3 linked regions of the Macaca mulatta genome follow. The protein of the gene in region 1 binds, or shares a complex with, the protein of each later gene. Links are inferred from orthologs where the notes say so. Each region holds a gene or a part of one and is shown in the gene's direction. Other genes may lie near its edges. The genes, in order: CUL7, OBSL1 and CCDC8.

The links.
Region 2: CUL7 (region 1) and OBSL1 share a complex: the UniProt entries of both Homo sapiens proteins name them as parts of the 3M complex. The link is inferred for Macaca mulatta from reciprocal best matches to the Homo sapiens genes CUL7 and OBSL1.
Region 3: CUL7 (region 1) and CCDC8 share a complex: the UniProt entries of both Homo sapiens proteins name them as parts of the 3M complex. The link is inferred for Macaca mulatta from reciprocal best matches to the Homo sapiens genes CUL7 and CCDC8.

The regions. Positions count from the first base shown.
Region 1 is NC_133409.1:139,081,341-139,087,260, forward strand, and holds part of CUL7 (cullin-7), read left to right. Parts: intron 1-108; coding exon 109-346; intron 347-424; coding exon 425-530; intron 531-1,555; coding exon 1,556-1,783; intron 1,784-2,061; coding exon 2,062-2,152; intron 2,153-2,255; coding exon 2,256-2,427; intron 2,428-2,572; coding exon 2,573-2,678; intron 2,679-2,996; coding exon 2,997-3,092; intron 3,093-3,280; coding exon 3,281-3,456; intron 3,457-3,799; coding exon 3,800-3,933; intron 3,934-5,343; coding exon 5,344-5,526; intron 5,527-5,791; coding exon 5,792-5,898; intron 5,899-5,920. UniProt on the Homo sapiens protein: Core component of the 3M and Cul7-RING(FBXW8) complexes, which mediate the ubiquitination and subsequent proteasomal degradation of target proteins. Core component of the 3M complex, a complex required to regulate microtubule dynamics and genome integrity.
Region 2 is NC_133417.1:124,809,670-124,816,355, reverse strand, and holds the start of OBSL1 (obscurin-like protein 1), read left to right. Parts: upstream 1-2,592; 5' UTR 2,593-2,891; coding exon 2,892-3,903; intron 3,904-5,825; coding exon 5,826-6,095; intron 6,096-6,180; coding exon 6,181-6,432; intron 6,433-6,574; coding exon 6,575-6,686. Other genes in the region: INHA (inhibin alpha chain precursor), read right to left, coding at 1,512-1,779. UniProt on the Homo sapiens protein: Core component of the 3M complex, a complex required to regulate microtubule dynamics and genome integrity. It is unclear how the 3M complex regulates microtubules, it could act by controlling the level of a microtubule stabilizer.
Region 3 is NC_133424.1:58,898,174-58,904,690, reverse strand, and holds the start of CCDC8 (coiled-coil domain-containing protein 8), read left to right. Parts: upstream 1-2,031; 5' UTR 2,032-2,167; coding exon 2,168-3,808; 3' UTR 3,809-3,992; exon of another isoform or gene 3,993-4,419; intron 4,420-5,481; exon of another isoform or gene 5,482-5,727; intron 5,728-6,517. UniProt on the Homo sapiens protein: Core component of the 3M complex, a complex required to regulate microtubule dynamics and genome integrity. It is unclear how the 3M complex regulates microtubules, it could act by controlling the level of a microtubule stabilizer.

The DNA.
Region 1 (5,920 bases):
AACATTTTTTAGGAGAAATTAGAGAAAAAGATTGAGAGTTATGAATCTATTTCTGAGCCTTCACATTACTAACAATGGCCAATTCCTGTGACTCTCCTCTTCCTGTAGCAAAAGAACCCCCATCTCAGAGTCCCAACACTCCCCTGCAGCATCTCGTGGAGGATTATGGTCCAGCTGGGAAAATCCTCCTGGATCTAGAGCAAGCCCTCAGCTCGGAGGGGACGCAGGAGAACAAGGTCAAGCCACTCCTGCTGCAGCTGCAGCGGCAGCCCCAGCCCTTCCTGGCACTGATGCAGAGCCTGGACACTCCAGAGACTAACAGGGCCCTGCACCTGACTGTGCTGAGGTAAGACCGTGGTGACAGGTGGGATCTCTGAGGGCAAAGGGGGTCTATGAGGCTGGCTGCACATTTCTCTGCCCCCAGAATCCTGAAGCAGCTGGTAGACTTCCCTGAGGCACTGCTGCTCCCCTGGCACGAGGCCGTGGATGCCTGCATGGCCTGCCTGCGGTCCCCAAACACTGATCGAGAGGTACCCCTGCCTTGCTCTGGGGAGAGGCTGGGGGAGAGGATAAAGGCAGCCACTGGCAAGGCACACCCACTGGGCAAGGCTCTGGAGGGTGTGATAGAGCCTTTGGGCTCTTAGTTTTGAGTTTTGCTTTTAAAATTGAATTTTATTTTTTTTAAATAGGTAATACATTCACATGGTTCACAAATCAAAACGCTCTAACAAGGTATACACTGAGAATTCTTGCTCTCACCCAAATCCCTGTTCTCCCAGTGTCCCCCACACACCCCTTACTGGTAATTACTTGTATTAATTTATGTATCATTCCCATGTTCCCTTATGCAAATATAAGCAAACCCAAATGTGTGATCTTGCCACTCTCTTTTTTACACAAAAGGATATGGAGATATTATTACATAGAACATTAAGAGCTTCAGTAGCTCCATTTTTGGCTGGTCCTGTGGGAGAAAGGGGGATGAAGGATGCAGAGGGCCCATCACATACCAGAGTCCCCTGCAAAAGCTACAGAGAAGTCCTGGGCACAGAAGGCTTCAGAAGGGCTCAGAGAACTAGGGTCATGGTGACAGTAGGTGTTTGCAGTGTGGCTGTATTTTTGGCTGTTATGTAGAATTTACTTTCTAAGGCAGGCTCATTGGGTATACGCACAAACCCAGTCCCTGTCAGTCCCTTCCCAGCCATCCAGGTGTCTGTGCCTGAACATCTCAAAATACAGCCCTACAACTGTTTTTTGGGACAGTGGGGCCTGGATGAAAGAACCCAGGGATGCTCTCTGCAGTTTTTGTCAATATAATCAGCAGCCTAGAACCCTAGAGTAGCAGGGCATCTTGTGCCCTTTTCCATTTTGGTTTGTCTTCAGTTCTCTAACCACCTGGCTCTTGTGTCTCCCCATCCCTGTCTTTTCATTTCCTCACTGCCTTGCTCACTGTAGCACCCCCAGCACCCAGTACACAGTGGGTACCTGCTACTGCAGATGCCCTTGCAGCCCTCGCCCTGTCTTCATTCATCTCCTCCTTTATGTCCCCACCCAGGTGCTCCAGGAACTGATTTTCTTCCTGCACCGCCTGACCTCAGTGAGCAGGGACTATGCCGTGGTGCTGAATCAGCTGGGAGCAAGAGACGCCATCTCCAAGGCCCTGGAAAAGCACCTGGGAAAGCTGGAGCTGGCTCAGGAGCTGCGGGACATGGTGTTCAAGTGTGAGAAGCATGCCCACCTCTACCGCAAACTCATCACCAACATCCTGGGAGGCTGCATCCAGGTCAGGAGGAAGGGGAGCTTGTGGGCTCAGAGCAGCATCAGAATATGAAACCCAAGCAGTGGCGGGTAAGGGCTGTGTTCCCATGGCTGGGAACAACAGGTGACTCTAGTGACCCTGGGACATTTGTTTCCCTGCCCCTCTTCCCTGTCTGGGCCTGCTCTGCTGGTGCTGTAGAGGAAGTCCCACTGCTGCTTGGTCTCTCCTTCATCCATGTTTCCATGTGTCTCTCCGTGTTCCTCCTGCCCCCGTGCCCCTTCTCTCTGATGTTCTGGCCGCAGATGGTGCTGGGCCAGATTGAAGACCACAGACGAACCCACCGGTCCATCAACATCCCTTTCTTTGATGTGTTCCTCAGATACTTATGCCAGGGTTCGTGCCTGTTGCCCTGTTGCTCTACCTCTCCATACCTATGTTTGTTTCCTCTTTACACCCTACCTGGCTGTGACCACCACCCATTCCCACTTACCCCCAGGCTCCAGTGTGGAAGTGAAGGAGGACAAGTGCTGGGAGAAGGTGGAGGTGTCCTCCAACCCACACCGGGCCAGCAAGCTGACGGACCACAACCCCAAGACCTACTGGGAGTCCAACGGCAGCGCCGGCTCCCACTACATCACCCTGCACATGCACCAGGGCGTCCTCATCAGGTAACGCTCCCACGCATGTGCTTTGCCACACACCTACGCTTTCCTGTGACGCCCCTGTGTTTGTTTTGGGGGATGCACCACCCCCCTGGACTTGGCCATGGGCCCTGTCTGCAAGTTCCAAATGGTTTTTCCTCCCCACTCCCAGGCAACTGACTCTGCTTGTGGCTAGCGAGGACTCAAGCTACATGCCGGCCCGAGTGGTGGTGTGTGGGGGTGATAGCGCTAGCTCTCTTCACACGGAACTCAACTCGGTAGGGCCCCAGGGCCATTAGCCATTACCCCACCCCTCACAGGATCTGCCCTCCTGCTTCGATCTGGCCCTATGCTACTTTTTTCTACTCCCACCTGTCTTAAGCCCCACAGAAAGTAGTGTCCTTTATCCCTGTGCTTGTGCCACCAGGCCCCAAACAGTGAGGGTGGACAATGAGGATAGCTTTCTCAGGACCCTACACATCCCAGGGCTGGGGAAGGGAAGGAAACAAGTGAGGGGACTGGAGCCTAGAGCCAACTTGGCTCAGCACTCCCATCTGCACGTGTAGAAGTGACAGCCTTCTCTGCCCCCCTACCAGGTGAATGTGATGCCCTCTGCCAGCCGGGTGATCCTCCTGGAGAACCTGACCCGCTTCTGGCCCATCATCCAGATCCGCATAAAGCGCTGCCAGCAGGTGGGGCTAGGGATGTGGGGTGTGGCCCTGGGTAGGGGGCTCTGAATCCCATAAACGGGCAGATCTTGAGCCAGAAGACCAGCCTGGGTCTCAAGCAGCTCCAGGTGTGAGGCTCGAGGGCATAGCTGACCCCAGCCCATCCCAAGGAGCATGTGGGGCGAGTGAAGATAGTCCTGTGTGTGTTTCAGGGTGGCATTGATACGCGCATTCGGGGGTTAGAGATCCTAGGCCCCAAGCCCACGTTCTGGCCAGTGTTCCGGGAGCAACTCTGTCGTCACACACGCCTCTTCTACATGGTTCGGGCGCAGGCCTGGAGCCAGGACATGGCAGAGGACCGCAGGAGCCTCCTGCACCTGAGTTCTAGGTGTGTGAGAGTGTGCGTGTATGCCTGTGTCTGTGGGAAAGGTAAGGCTATTGCAAATAGCTGGCAGGCAGGGGTCCATTTAAGCCATAAGATGGAGGTTTAATATGCGTGGGGAGGGGGCTGGAGTGTTCTGAGCTGTGGGAGGGGAAGAAAGGATAAAGAGAAGAAATTTCTCCAGTGGGCTGGGAATAGGATATACTAGTTAGCACAGGGCAGTTTTGAAGTACCAGGGGGGCCTTCAGTTTGGGTGCTGGAGGTTAACTGGCAGTCTTAGGCAGGGTGGACACTGAGATAACACATACCTCAAGCCTCTGACACCTTCCTCCTCCATTCTCACCCCCAGACTGAACGGGGCCCTGCGCCAGGAGCAGAATTTTGCTGACCGCTTCCTCCCTGACGACGAGGCTGCCCAAGCTCTGGGCAAGACCTGCTGGGAGGCCCTGGTCAGCCCCGTGGTGCAGAACATCACCTCCCCTGGTAACCATCCTAACACCTGGACCCATTACTATCTCAGGGCTTGGCTCCACTAATTAGCTCCTTCTTGCTCTACCCTAGAACCACCTGGATTATGTTCTGGCCCTTTTGGCACCTGCATTTGTAATCCCAGTGCCGTCTTCTCATAGCCCAGGGGCTGCCCCCTTTCCTATGTCTCTCAAGTATCAGCTGACACCATAAGTGCAGAAGGTACCTTGTTACCCACTCCCTTATCATTCTTTTCATATCTTTTTTTTTTTGAGACAGAGTTTCGCTCTTGTTACCCAGGCTACAGTGCAATGGCGCGATCTCAGCTCACCGCAACCTCTGCCTCCCGGGTTCAAGCAATTCTCTTGCCTCAGCCTCCTGAGTAGCTGGGATTACAGGCATGTGCCACCATGCCTGGCTTATTTTATTTTATTTTATTTTATTTTTTTGAGACAGTGTTTCGCTCTTATTGCCTAGGCTGGAGTGCAATGGCGCAATCTCAGCTCACTGCAACCTCCGCCTCCAGGGTTAAGCAGTTCTCCTGCATCAGCCTCCCAAATAGCTGGGATTACAGGCATGGGCCACCATGCCCGGCTAATTTTGGATTTTTAGTAGAGATGGGGTTTCTCCATGTTGGTCAGGCTGGTCTTGAACCCCAACCTCAGGTGATCCACCTGCCTCAGTCTCACAAAGTGCTAGGATTACAGGCGTGAGCCACCGCGCCCGACCCACACCTAGCTGATTTTATATTTTTTAGTAGAGATGGAGTTTCTCCATGTTGTGAGGCTGATCTCGGAAACTCCTGACCTCAGGTGATCCGCCCACCTCAGCCTCCCAAAGTGCTGGGATTATAGGCATGTGCCACCGCGCCTGGCCTTTTCTATTTTTTTTAATGTTTATTATTTTTATTTATTATTATTATTTTTTTGAGATGGAGTCTCACTCTATCGCCCAGGCTGGAGTGCAGTGGTGTGATCTCGGCTCACTGCAAACTCCTCCTCCCAGGTTCATGCCATTCTCTGGCCTCAGCCTCCCAAGTAGCTGGGATTACAGGCACCCGCCACCACGTCTGGCTTATTTTTGTATTTTTAGTAGAGACGGGGTTTCACCGTGTTAGCCAGGATGGTCTCAATCTCCTGACCTTATGATCTGCCCACGTCGGCCTCCCAAAGTACTGGGATTACAGGTGTAAGCCACTGTGCCCAGCTTGTTTATTTATTATTTTTAAAGATGACCAGGCCGGGCTCAAACTCCTCTCATTTCAACCTCCCAAAGTGCTGGGATTATAGGCATAAACCACCCTACCTGGCCCCTCCCTTGTATCATTTCGTCCAGTTGCTCTATCTCTACACTCCTGTTCAGCCCAACCTCTCCCACTTCCCTGCAGACATGGCTGTGCCTTGGTTTGTTTTTCTCACCCTCTAGATGAGGATGGCGTTAGCCCCCTGGGTTGGCTGCTGGAGCAGTACCTGGAGTGTCAGGAAGCTGTCTTCAACCCCCAGAGCCGCGGCCCAGCTTTCTTCTCGCGGGTGCGCCGTCTCACTCACCTGCTGGTGCATGTCGAGCCCTGCGAGGCACCCCCTCCTGTGGCGGCCACTCCTCGGCCCAGTGAGTAGTGGGGATTCAGGTGGGGAGCTTCTAGTCAGGAGCATTTTCCTGGGCCCCACGTGTACACCATAGACTTCTGTCCATCCCCATCCTTCCCCTCCTGTTGGCTCAGCCTGTTCATCTTCCAGGTTTGTGTCACCTCCATCCATGAACATCACTTTGGGTGGCAGCATGTCAGGAAAGGCCTCAGGGCACCCCCTTGGATAGCGACTGGAGTGGAGGGGCTGCCCACTCCTTGCCTCTGCCACTTTCTTGATCTCCACAGAGGGCAGAAACAGAAGCCACGACTGGAGCTCCTTGGCTACCCGGGGCCTTCCAAGCAGCATCATGAGAAACCTGACGCGCTGTTGGCAAGCCGTGGTGGAGAAGCAGGTGGGCAGGAGCGGGCCTGGGG
Region 2 (6,686 bases), on another chromosome or scaffold:
ACACCCAGCTAACTTTTGTGTTTTTTGTAGAGACAGGATCTCACTATGTTGCCCAGGCTGATCTCAAACTCCTGAGCTCAAGCAATCTGCCTGCCTTCACCTTCCAAAGTGCTGGGATTATAGGTGTGAGCTATCACACCCAGCCGTATTACTTTTTTTATTTTTTTATTTTTTTTGAGATGGAGTCTAGCTCTGTGGCCCAGGCTGGAGTGCAGTGGCGCCATCTCGGCTCACTGCAACCTCCGCCTCCCGCTCTGCCTCCCGGGTTCAAGCAATTCTCCTGCCTCAGCCTCGCGAGTAGCTGGTGCCACCATGCCTGGCTCATTTTCTGTATTTTTAGTAGAGACGGGGTTTCACCATGTTAGCCAGGATAGTCTCGATCTCCTGACCTTGTGATCCTCCTGCCTTGGCCTCCCAAAGTGCTGGGATTACAGGTGTGAGCCACCGCGCCCGGCCCATATTACTCTTTATATCTTTGGCATGTCAGGAATATTATATAATAAATTCTTTAAAATAATTCCATTTTTAAAAGACAAGTTTACACCAAAAAAAAAAAAAAAAAAAAGAAGAAGGAGGAGGGAAAGGCGAGTGGGAAGGAAGAAAATGGAGAACAAGGAGGAGGGGGAAGAGGAGGAGGGCTGTAACTCAGAACAGAGGGGAGTCCTTTCAAGAATGTGTAGTTGGCATCCTCACACTGACACACTCATAGACTATACTAATCATCCTGGAGCAGCACCCGCTGATGGACTGGCAAGTGGAACTATACTGTTACATGGCTTCTTTCATTATCTAGTCACAATTGGTCCATTTTGCAGGTACGGAAATTGAGGCTTAGAGAGGTGAAATGACGTTCAACGACTAAGTGGCCAGACTGGAATTTTGCCTGATCCCAAAGCCATCCTTCTCCCCACTGTGCTGCTAACGGACCAAAGTGAGGGAGGCAGGGGTCCTCTCTTAAGAGAAAGGTGGACCAGATGACAAGAAAGCCCACCCGGAGGAGGGCTTATCCATCCAGTCAGTGAAACAAGGGGACGCACATATGTCGAGACAGGAACTCAAGAGAAGATAGACTAGTTTTCCAGAAAAGTTTCCCAACTAATCTTTTGCCTGTATCTCTGATAGCTTCTCAGTCTCAGCTACCTGGGAGTAAAGAAACAGGGTCTGGAGCAGCGAGCAGAGGCAGAGATAGGAGGAAAGGTGGCAGGAAGGGGCCCAAGCCCAGACATCTCCATCTCTAGAGACCCCTGGTCTCCCAGCGCATACCTCCCAAATGCCTCCCACCTGCCATGCACTCTAGGTACAGCCTCTCACTTAATCCTGAGAGGTTGGCGTTATCACGCATTTTACAGATTGGGAGACAAGAGGCATAAGGAGGTTTAATAACTGGCCTATTGTTGCAAAGCCACTGAGTGGTAGGGCTGGGATTCAAACCCAGGTCCACCTGGCCCGCAAACCCATGCTGTGCCTTGCTGCTTCTCAAAGTCACCCTGCCAGTTCCCCCACCTCGTTACCTGTGGCTGGGAAAAGGATGGCCTGGGAGACATCCTCCTCCTCCGTGGGCTCAGAGCCCCTGCGTGTGAAGCCCCCCAGGGCATGTCTTCGGAGCAGCCGCCTGACTCCAGGGTCCCCACCTTCCCTGGTCACCACGGGGGACCCCAAGGCATCCAGGAACAGGGCCCTCACCTTGGCCAGAACAAGCTCCCGGGCCAGCTCCGGCCCTTGGCAGCTGTGACCACCCTGTGGGGCCAGCAGCAAGAAGAGCAGTAGGGGCAGCACCATAGCTCACCTGGCCCTGCTAGCGGGGAACCCACACCCTCCCCCGTGCCCTTTCTGCCAGGGTCTGCCCAGGGCAGCTCCACTCTCCCCTCCCCATCCCACACCCACCCTCTTCTACCCTTCTCACCCAGTCTTCTCCAGTCCTTTCCACGCCCCACAGTCCGAGTTGCCCCTGCCCGTGGCATTGAAACCTCCTATCTCTGACGCAGATGTCTGTGGCCATGAGCCTTATCTCCCACTCCCGCCAGCGATGTTGGGGAGGGACTGGGGAGGATTTCGCCCCAAGCGACCTGACTCATACAAGCAAACATTACAACCCCTTCTCCTACACACACACACACACACACACACATACACTCTCACACACACACACACGCACTCTCTCACACACACACACACATCCAGAGGTTTACATCAGGTGGGACAGGAGCCTGGGAGCTGCAGCCGGCCAGCCCCGGAAAGTGTCATTTGTCAGGGAGACACAGTGCACCACCCCTCAGACCTTCTGGGGCCCCTTTCAATAAGCAGCTGCTGGGCCGGCCAGCCCTTGGGGGAAGGGCTGGAGCCGGGGCTAGAACCGGGGCTAGGGCCGGGGGCAGGTGGTCCTGCCTGCTCTATACTTAGCCCAGTGGAGCCAGTCTGGGCTCTTGTCCTCCAGCTGTGTCATCAGAGAATATTTTTGGGATTGGCAGCTGCAGGCGCCTCTGCCACTCAGGCCCAAGCCTGGCGGGAGGCTAGGGACCTGGCGGCTGGAGGTGGGAGGGAGGAGGGGGAAGAGGCCCAAGCTGTGGGAGGGGGCTGGGAAGAGAGGCTCCCAAGAGCAGGAAGCCAGGCAGCGGGCAGGAGAGGCTGCGGGGCCCCTCGCTGGAGAGGCAAACAGGAAGGACTGCCCCCTGAGCGCCAGGCTTCGGCCCGGGAATCGCCGCCGCCGCCGCCGCAGAGCTGCAGCTTGGGGCCGAGGGTAAGGAGGCGAGCCGGGAGCAGGAGGCCCGGGAGAGCTTCGCGGGTACCCGCGCCTGGTCCGCAGCCGCGCCCCGGCCCCGCCGCCCCTGGCCTCGGCTCGCCCTCGGCCCACCCTCCCCGTTGGCCGCTGCAGGCGGTCTGAGACAGCTGCGATGAAGGCGAGCTCAGGGGACCAGGGGAGCCCCCCGTGCTTCCTGCGCTTCCCGCGGCCGGTGCGGGTGGTAAGTGGCGCCGAGGCGGAACTCAAGTGCGTGGTCCTGGGGGAGCCGCCACCGGTAGTGGTGTGGGAGAAGGGCGGGCAGCAGCTGGCGGCCTCGGAACGCCTGAGTTTCCTGGCGGACGGCGCGGAGCACGGCCTGCTGCTGAGCACCGCACTGCCTACCGACGCCGGGGTCTACGTGTGCCGCGCCCGCAACGCGGCGGGCGAGGCCTACGCGGCGGCCGCTGTCACCGTGCTGGAGCCACCGGCCTCCGAGCCCGAGCCGCAGCCCGCCGAGCGCCCGCTGCCACCGCCGGGGTCCGGGGAGGGCGCCCCGGTCTTCCTCACGGGGCCCCGATCCCAGTGGGTGCTAAGGGGGGTGGAGGTGGTGCTGACGTGCCGGGCGGGGGGCCTCCCTGAGCCCACGCTGTACTGGGAGAAGGACGGGATGGCCCTGGACGAAGTGTGGGACAGCAGCCACTTCGCGCTCGAGCCCGGCCGCGCCGAGGAGGGCCCCGGCGCGAGCCTGGCGCTGCGCATCCTGGCAGCTCGGCTGCCGGACTCCGGCGTCTACGTGTGCCACGCCCGCAACGCGCACGGCCACGCGCAGGCGGGGGCGCTGCTCCAGGTGCACCAGCCCCCTGAGAGCCCGCCCTCGGACCCCGACGAGGCCCCCGCGCCCGTGGTGGAGCCGCTCAAGTGCGCTCCTAAGACTTTCTGGGTAAATGAGGGCAAGCACGCCAAGTTCCGCTGCTACGTGATGGGCAAGCCCGAGCCCGAGATCGAATGGCACTGGGAGGGCCGCCCGCTGCTCCCGGACCGCCGCCGCCTCATGTACCGCGACCGCGACGGCGGCTTCGTGCTCAAGGTGCTCTACTGCCAGGCCAAGGACCGTGGGCTCTACGTCTGCGCCGCGCGCAACTCGGCAGGCCAGACGCTCAGCGCGGTGCAGCTGCACGTGAAAGGTACGGCGGCGCCCGGGGCCTGGGGAGGGGCCTCTCGTGTCCTCCGAGGCCCTCCGAACACCAGCCCTCCTCGGTGCGCAGCACTGCCCCGAAGACTGGAGGAGAGGAGGTCCGCGGCAATATTAAAATATCAAACCCGCCCGCCTCCCGCTCTCCAGGGATTCGGATTTACTAGGTCTCCCGGGTACTCAGGAACTTCTTAGCAAACTCCCCAAAAGATTCCGAGGCAGATGGTGGAACACCACTAAGGAGTGATTGATGTACAAACCTGGAGGGCGGTAGAACTCTTCTCCCCTAGTGGTTTTCAACGTCTTTGTTATTTTACTTCTCCTTCCCCAACTGAATTCACAACCAGAGTCCCAATATATGAGACAGATAAAGGAGTATTTTGTGGGCCTAAATTGCTAAGTCTGCTTGTATAACAGGTACTTCTAAAGCATCAGTGAGAATAAGGAGGCTATTTTATTGAATACAGGCATTTGAAGTGAAGACTGCATTCATGAGTCCAGGCTCTGAACCCTGTGGGAACAGCCTGGGTGCGTCTGTCACCTTGAGAAACAAGTGATTCAGTAGAAAGCTAGACAAGGGAGGACAAATGTCCTGTGTGTTTTTACTGTTCTTTGATTAAACTACTCCCCACGTTTGCAAGAAGAGGAAGGTGAAGGAGAGAAGGTTTATATTTCAATGTTGAATCACCAACAATATCCAATAAACGCTTACATTCTCATAAACAGAAAATTCAAAGGGAAAAAAAAAAGCACACCCCAAACTCACCATTAGGTAACGCTCCCCATAATAGGATTTCATCACAATGCAAAGGATTATACCTTCACTAGTTATTGTCCAGATTTTTCTCTTGGAGGAAAAAAAAGTTGGTAAATTCTCCTGAGTCCTGCCTGGCACGCAGTCAAGGATGTGGCCCCTGGGCTGCGGTGGTGGCCTCGCTGGTACAGTTCAATGCACACAGATTTGTCAGGCTGGTGCTGATCTGGACCTCCATCAGGAAAGAAAAGCCCCGAGGGAAGGCTGGAGGAGCTTCCCAGAGTTGGATACACACACACTGAAACTTGCTTCTCCAGCAGCCTGAGTTAATTCTCTAGTTTCTAACATCCTGTTTTCTTTTCTTTCTTTCTTTCTTTTTTTTTTTGAAATACACTTTTGAAAGGGGTTAAAATAGCCAGGCGAGGTGGCTCACTCCTGTAATCTCACCACTTTGGGAGGCTGAGGCAGGAGGATCACCTGAGGTCAGGAGTTCGAGAACAACCTGGCCAACATGGCGAAACCCTTTTTCTACTAAAAATACAAAATAATTAGCTGGGCGTGGTGGCACGTGCCTGTAATCCCAGCTACTTGAGAGGCTGAGGCACCAGAATTGCTTGAACCAGGGAGGTAGAGGTTGCAGTGAGCCAAGATTGCACCACTACACTCCAGCCAGGGCAAGAGAGCGAGACTCCATCTCAAAAAAAAAAAAAAAAAAAGAAAAGAAGAAAAAAAGAAAAGCGTTAAAATATTTTAAATTCTACTCAGACCCTTGTGGAATATGTGAAATGCCTGGGGCGGGGGGGCCTAGGGAACGATTTGAAAATCACCAGTCTAGGGCCTAGAGGATCCCAGAGAACAGTTTGGAAATCATCAATCTGATCCAACCCCTTTTGTCCCTTTCCCCATTTTACAAGTAAGGAGACTGAGGCCCAGAAGCGTTGAAATGGACTTGCTCAAGGTGATGTGGCTAGTGTCAGGGCTGGATGAGAACTTAGGTCATCTTAGGAACCACCACTTCCCTTCTGGTAGTTTTCTGTGATTCCACAGTGCCCGCTGGCTCTGCATAAAGAGCACATGGCATGAGCTAATGCGATTTGAGGCGTCCTACACCTAGTCTGGCCCTTCTCCAGAGCCCTCTCTTGTCTCTCCCCTCTCCACAGAGCCCCGCCTCCGGTTCACACGGCCCCTGCAGGATGTGGAGGGCCGTGAGCACGGGATTGCCGTGCTGGAGTGTAAAGTACCCAACTCCCGCATCCCCACGGCCTGGTTCCGTGAGGACCAGCGGCTGCTGCCCTGCCGCAAGTATGAGCAGATCGAAGAGGGCACTGTCCGGCGTCTCATCATCCACAGGCTGAAGGCAGACGATGATGGTGTCTACCTGTGCGAGATGCGGGGCCGGGTGCGCACCGTGGCCAACGTCACAGTCAAAGGTCAGCTGGTTCATGGGGAAGAGGCTGAGGCGGAGGCAGGCAGGTGCTCAGATTCCAGGCTGATGGATTCCCGTCGGCATCTCAGGGCCCATCCTGAAGCGCCTGCCCCGGAAGCTCGATGTCCTGGAAGGAGAGAACGCGGTGCTGCTGGTGGAAACTCTAGAGGCTGGAGTTGAGGGACGCTGGAGCCGTGATGGGGAGGAGCTGCCAGTCATCTGCCAGAGCAGCTCGGGCCACATGCATGCCCTGGTCCTTCCAGGGGTCACCCGAGAAGATGCTGGCGAGGTTACCTTTAGCCTGGGCAACTCCCGTACCACTACGCTGCTCAGAGTCAAATGTGAGGGCAGGAAGGCCTCTGGACAGGCAGGGCAGGGCAAAAGGTTGGCCAGATGCCACAGCTGGGTTGGTGAAGTAGATTTAAGGTGGAAGGGCTGTGGAGGCCCGAGCAAGGCCGGAACACATCCCTGCCTTGGTCTCAGGTGTCAAGCACAGTCCTCCAGGACCCCCTGTATCAGCAGAGATGTTCAAGGGCCACAAGAACACGGTCCTGCTGACCTGGAAGCCTCCCGATCCAGCTCCCGAGACCCCATT
Region 3 (6,517 bases), on another chromosome or scaffold:
GTTCAAGAGATTCTCCTGCCTCAGCTTCCAGAGTAGCTGGGACTACAGGCACATACCACCACACCTGGCTAATTTTTTTGTATTTTTAGTAGAGACGGGGTTTCACCACGGTAGCCAGGATGGTCTTGATCTCCTGACCTCGGAATCCGCCTGCCTTGGCCTCCCAAAGTGCTGGGATTACAGGCGTGAGCCACCATGCCCAGCCATCTTGACTCTTTGGTGGGCACAAAAGGCAGACTATTCTGGATTCAAATCCAAACTCAACCACTCCCCCTGGCTGTGACCTTGAAAGAGTGGTTTTATGTCCTTGGGCATCAGTTTCTTCAGCTGTCTAATGGGAGTTGTACTCATGCTACCAGTCTCCTGCTATAGCAAGGATTTCCTGAGTTCATTCATAGAAAGCACTGGGAATGGTGCCTACTACACAGGAAGCGCCTCATAAACCGTGCCTATCCTTAGCCATCTCATTCTTTTTTCAAAGTTGCAAAATATTTCACTGTAAGATACTACCATAAAATAGAGGCAGTATCTACTCATGAACTTTTAGGCTTTTTTGTTGTTGTTTATTTGTGGGGTTTTTTTGGTTTTGTTTTTTGGCTTTTTTTGTTTGTTTGTTTGTTTTGTTTTTGTTTTTTTGAGACAGAGTCTCCCTCTGTTGCCCAGGCTGGAGTGCAGTGGCGCCATCTCTGCAACCTCCACCTCCCGGGTTCATGCCATTCTCCTGCCTCAGCCTCCCGTGTAGCTGGGACTACACACGCACACCACCACACCCGGCTAATTTTTGTATTTTTTGTAGAGACGAGGGTTTCACCATGTTGGCCAGGCTGGTCTCGAACTCCTGGCCTCCAAGTGTTCCACCCGCCTAGGCCTCCCAAAGTGCTGGGATTACAGGCATGAGCCACCGCGCCTGGCTATGAACATTCAGGTTTATTCATCCACTCAAAAATATGTAGAGCCCTGACCTCCTGCCAAGCGTCACAGGGGGACTGTTGCAATAAGATCCCGGTACCCATTTCTCTACCCACGCGTCTGGGTGTACGGGTACGGATAGTCGCGTGAATTTAAAATGCTAATCTATGGTGCCAGTGGCTCTCAAAAGGTAGAATCCACTGGCACACCCACCTCCAGGACTTGGCTGGAAACTTGTACATTTCGGATGGCAGGTTTGGGAACCGCTGCCTTTCAGCAAAGGTGCTGACGTGGGCCACCGCCGCTTCGCTGGGAAGCAATGGGCCCAGCTAGGCCCCAGGCGCGGCCACACCCCTGTGGGGGAGGGGAAGGAGGCTGCCCCGAAGGGAGTGGACAGCCCCCCTGTCAGTCTTCCAGAGTCTGGGAGTGTAAGATGAGACGGGGGAAGGTGGGCCTCATTCTGGCGGAGGGCAAGGAGGAACTTCCTGCTGGTGCGCTCCACCGTGCAGAGCCCTAAGCGCGCGGGCTGGCAGGCTGCGGCGCGTCAAGGTCAGCCTGGAGCTGGGTGGTGGCCTGCCTGGGGGCGGGGGACCCTACTGGGGGGCCGGGCTGAGGCCTCTCAGCGCCTCCGCCATATTGAATAGCCTCGACTGGACCGTCTTTGTCTGCGAAGTCCTCTCCCAAGTTCCAACCGCGTCCCAGGGGCCTGGGGCAGGAAGAATCGCTGGCAGCCCGCGCGCCCCAACTTGGAGCTGGGACACCACGTTTCCAGCTTGGAGTGGGCCTTGAACCTTGGGACTGACCTCGCCTCCGGCTCACGTAGGCATCCTGGAAATTGATTCTCCCAAGTCCTTGGTGGAGGAGCCGGACTTGGTCAAGACTGGACTTGTTGCAGGAGAAGAGATTGGAGGCGTTGACTCGTCCCTGGCTGGGGAGGTGAGACTCTGCGGTCAGCGTTGCTGGGACTCCCCCCATCCAGTCCCTCCCTCAAGACTAAGGGCTACAGTAGTTTGTTGGGGCTCTTTGCTCCCTCACCCCAGATATCACCCTGGAGATCTTAAAGACTCTCGAGAAAAGCCACGTGGGGGGCTGGTTCCCCTGGGGCTTCCTCCCGTCCCCCGACTGCCTCATTCTTTGGAGCGTCCCCGATGTCTGCAAAGATGTGGATTTGGACGTCCTCGTGGAAGCCCTAAAACCCGTGGGAACATTTAAGAAGATCGGCAAGGTGTTCCGCAAGGAGGAGGACTCCACGGTGGGGATGCTGCAGATCGGGGAGGACGTCGACTATTTGCTCATCCCCCGGGAGGTCAGGCTGGCCGGGGGCGTCTGGAGAGTCATCTCTAAGCCTGCCACCAAGGAAGCAGAATTTCGGGAGCGGCTGACCCAGTTCCTGGAAGAACAGGGCCGCACCCTGGAGGACGTGGCCCGCATCATCGAGAAGAGCACCCCGCACCCGCCCCAGCCCCCCAAAAAGCCCAAGGAGCCCCGAGTGAGGAGGAGAGTGCAGCAGATGGTGACTCCTACGCCCCGGCTGGTCGTGGGCACGTATGACAGCAGCAACGCCAGCGACAGCGAGTTCAGCGACTTCGAGACCTCCAGAGACAAGAGCCGCCAGGGCCCGCGGCGGGGCAAGAAGGTGCGCAAAATGCCCGTCAGCTACCTGGGCAGCAAGTTCCTGGGAAGCGACGTGGAGAGCGAGGATGATGAGGAACTGGTGGAGGCATTTCTCCGGCGACAGGAGAAGCAGCCCCCCGCGCCGCCTGCCCGCCGCCGCGTCAACCTGCCAGTGCCCATGTTTGAGGACAACCTGGGGCCTCAGCTGTCCAAGGCGGACAGGTGGCGGGAGTATGTCAGCCAGGTGTCCTGGGGGAAGCTGAAGCGGAGGGTGAAGGGTTGGGCGCCGAGGGCGGGCCCCGGGGTGGGCGAGGCCCGGCTGGCCTCCATCCCAGTGGAGAGCGCAGGGGTATCCTCCGGCACCAGCCCGGGGGATCCCGGGGATCCTGTGGAAAATGTGGGAGATGTCTGTGCCCCGCAGGCCTCCCCTAGGCGATGGAGGCCCAAGATCAACTGGGCCTCGTTTAGGCGCCGCAGGAAGGAGCAGACAGCGCCCACAGGTCGGGGGGCAGACATCGAGGCTGATCAGGGGGAAGAGGCTGCAGATAATCAGAGGGAAGAGGCCATAGCTGACCAGGAGGAAGAGGCTGCAGGTAATCAGAGGGCAGGGGCCCCAGCTGACCAGGGGGCAGAGGATGCAGATAACCATAGGGAAGAGGCTGCAGATAATCAGAGGGAAGAGGCCATAGCTGACCAGAGGGAAGAGGCTGCAGGTAATCAGAGGGCAGGGGCCCCAGCTGACCAGGGGGCAGAGGCTGCAGATAACCATGGGGAAGAGGCTGCAGATAATCAGAGGGCAGAGGCCCCAGCTGACCATAGGCCACAGGGTGCAGATAACCTGAGGGAAGAGGCTCTAGCTGACCAGGGGTCAGAGGCTACAGATCCTCGAAGGGAAGAGGCCATACATGACCAGAGGGAAAGGGCCCCAGCTGTCCAGGGTGCAGGTAATCAGAGGGCACAGGCCCGGGCTGGCCAAAGGGCAGAGGCTGCACATAATCAGACGGCAGGGGCCCCAGGTATCCAGGAAGCTGAAGCCTCAGCTACCCAAGGGGCCACAGGAACAGCTTCAGGAGCCAGGGCCCGGAAACAGGTCAAGACAGTGAGGTTCCAGACCCCTGGACGCTTTTCGTGGTTTCGCAAGCCCCGGAGAGCCTTCTGGCACACTCCCCGGTTGCCAACCCTGCCCAAGAGAGTCCCCAGGGCAGGCGAGGCCAGGAGCCTCAGGGTGCTGAGGGCCGAGGCCAGAGCAGAAGCTGAACAGGGAGAGCGAGAAGACCAGCTGTGAGGTGAGGGCTAGAGACAGCCCACGGGCCCTCCCTACAAGCGTGGGAGAGAAAGTTGCTCTTTCTGCCTCTGAACTTGAAAGTGGAGTTGGAGTGCTGCCCACATCTCCACCTTACAACCCTCTTTATTCTCTTGTTAAAGTTTTGTCTCATGCGTTGATTTTTAAAAAATTTTTTAGAGACAGGGTCTCACTCTGTTGCCCAGGCTGGAGTGCAGTGGCATGATCACTGCAGCCTCAAACTTCTGGCCTCAAGTGATCCTCCTGCCTCGGCCTCCCAAAGTGCTGGGATGACAGGTGTGAGCCACCACACGTACCACCTGATAAAATATATATATATATATACATATATACATATATATAGTGATTCCTTGTAGCAACCCAAAAAATGTAAAGAAAGAATTCGATACAAGGGGGTTCTGTCACCTATAGTTTTAATTTCCTCAAATGCAACTCAAGGTGCTCAGCTTGATAAAAGGAGAGCGGGAGGGCAGGGGAGAAATTGCCTGCTTTTCCTGTCCCTTTTTTGCCTGCACACTTAACGTGGACTGCCTCCTTGGACTTAAAAAGAGGACTTGAGCCAACATGCAAATAAAAAAACATTTATGAACTGGTTTCTTAGCTTTGGACTTGGCAACTGACGAATGCTCTGGGGGTGACCCGGCCCTTCCTGTCCGTTCTACTCCCATCCTTGAAGATGGAGACACCTGTGTTTATGTTGTCACTTCGCTTGCCATCCTCATGCCCCTGGACTCTGCTGCTTTGGAGGGGACAGGGCCCTTGGTTTGCATACCTCTCCCGATCTTGGTTGTAAGGTACAGTAAAAGCATCTGAAAAATGCGTTCAAAACACAGATTCTGGGGCCCTCAGCATCAGAGATGTGGATTTGCTAGCGGTGCCTGTGTGGCTCTGAATTCTGTTTGCATCAAGCTTCCAAACATCTGGGCAATTCGGCCATTGGACACATTGAAAACTCATTGCAATAAGAAAAGGCCTAAAAGAGGGGCTGTGGTTGGCCGGACGTGGTGGCTCACACCTGTAATCCCAGCACTTAGGGAGGCCGAGGCGGGTGGATACAAGGTCAAGAGATCAAGACCATCCTGGCCAACATGGTGAAACCCTGTCTCTACTAAAAATACAAAAATTAGCCTGGCCTGGTGGTGCACGCCTGTAGTCCCAGCTACTCGGGAGGCTGAGGCAGGAGAATCTCTTGAACCCGGAAGGTGGAGGTTGCGGTGAGCCGAGATCGCACCATTGCACTCCAGCCTAGTGACAGAGTGAGACTCTGTCTCAAAAAAAAAAAAAAAAAAAAAAGGCTGTGTGTATTGTGCATTAATTGCTTGTGCATTAATTGCTGCTGCTGGTTCTTTTTTTTTGAGATGGAGTCTCTGTCACTAGGCTGGAGTATGGTGGCGCGATCTCGGTTCATTGCAACCTCCGCCTCCCGGGTTCAAGTGATTCTCCTCCCTCAGCCTCCCGAGTAGCTGGGACTACAGGCGTGTGCCACCACACCTGGTTAATTTTTGTATTTTTAGTAGAGATGGGGTTTCACCATGTTGGCCAAGCCTGTCTTGAACTCCTAACCTCAACTGATCCGCCCACTTCGGCTTCCCAAAGTGCTGGGATTACAGGCATGAGCCACTGCGCCCAGCCAACTGCTTCCTATGATTGGGAAGAAATTGGGTTGCTAAGGCCCTGTGGAGGTTGGGAGGAAGCTGGGGGCCTCTCTCTGTATTGCCTTGTGTCCCCACAACCCCCAGCAGTGAAAAACAGCAAATGACCAGACTCGAGCCTTGCTGAGGGCAGGAGAAAAGGGAGTTCATGGAGGTCCAGGGGCCAGTCTGTCGTCCTAACTGGTTGCAGGCCTGGCCTAAGTTTCTTACTTTTTTTCTCTGGAAAGTAAAGAATTGTATCCCACCACCCTCCTTTTGTCTTTCTCTCTTCCACGCTCCTCCCTCCCTCCCTTCCTTCCCCTCCTTCCCCTCCTTCCCCTCCGCTCCCTCCCTCCCTCCCTCCCTTCCTTTGTCTTTCTCTTTCTCTTTCTTTCTCCCTACCTCCCTTCCTCCCTTCATTCCAATCTTCCTTCCTTCCTTCCTTCCTTCCTTCCTTCCTTCCTTCCTTCCTTCCTTCCTTCCTTCCTTCCTTCCCTCCCTCCCTCTCTCCCTCTCTCTCTCTCTTTCTCTTTTCTTTCTTTCTGTCTCTCTCTCTTTCTCTCCTTTCTCTTTCTCTCTCTCTCTTTTCTTTCTTTCAAGGCAGTGTCTGGCTCTGTCACCCAGGCTGGAGTGCGGTATTGCAATCACGGCTCACTTGCACTCTTGGGATCAAGCGATCCTCTGGCCTCGGCTTCCGAGAGCACTGGGATGATGGGAGTGAGCCACCGCGCCCCACCCCAGCTCTTTTCTGAGTGGAGTGGTTACTGCTGGTGCTGCTTGCTGCCTGGCGTGCTGCATGGCCTTGCTAGAGCCCTTTTGTGCATGGTGGTGGATACTTGGCCGTGTAGTCCACGGCTCACAGCCTGGCAAGAATGAGGCCCTGGGGAAAATACAAGCTGTGGACCTCACCTGGAGGGGAGGCTTTGTAGGTGCAGGGAGGCGGAGAGGCTGAGTGGGAAGGTTCTGGTTGGTGGTGGAGAGGGAGGCTGTCCTTTGCTGCTGCCCACCTCAGAGGGCAGAGGTACGTGACCACAGGGACCTGGCCTGCCTAAGGAGCTAG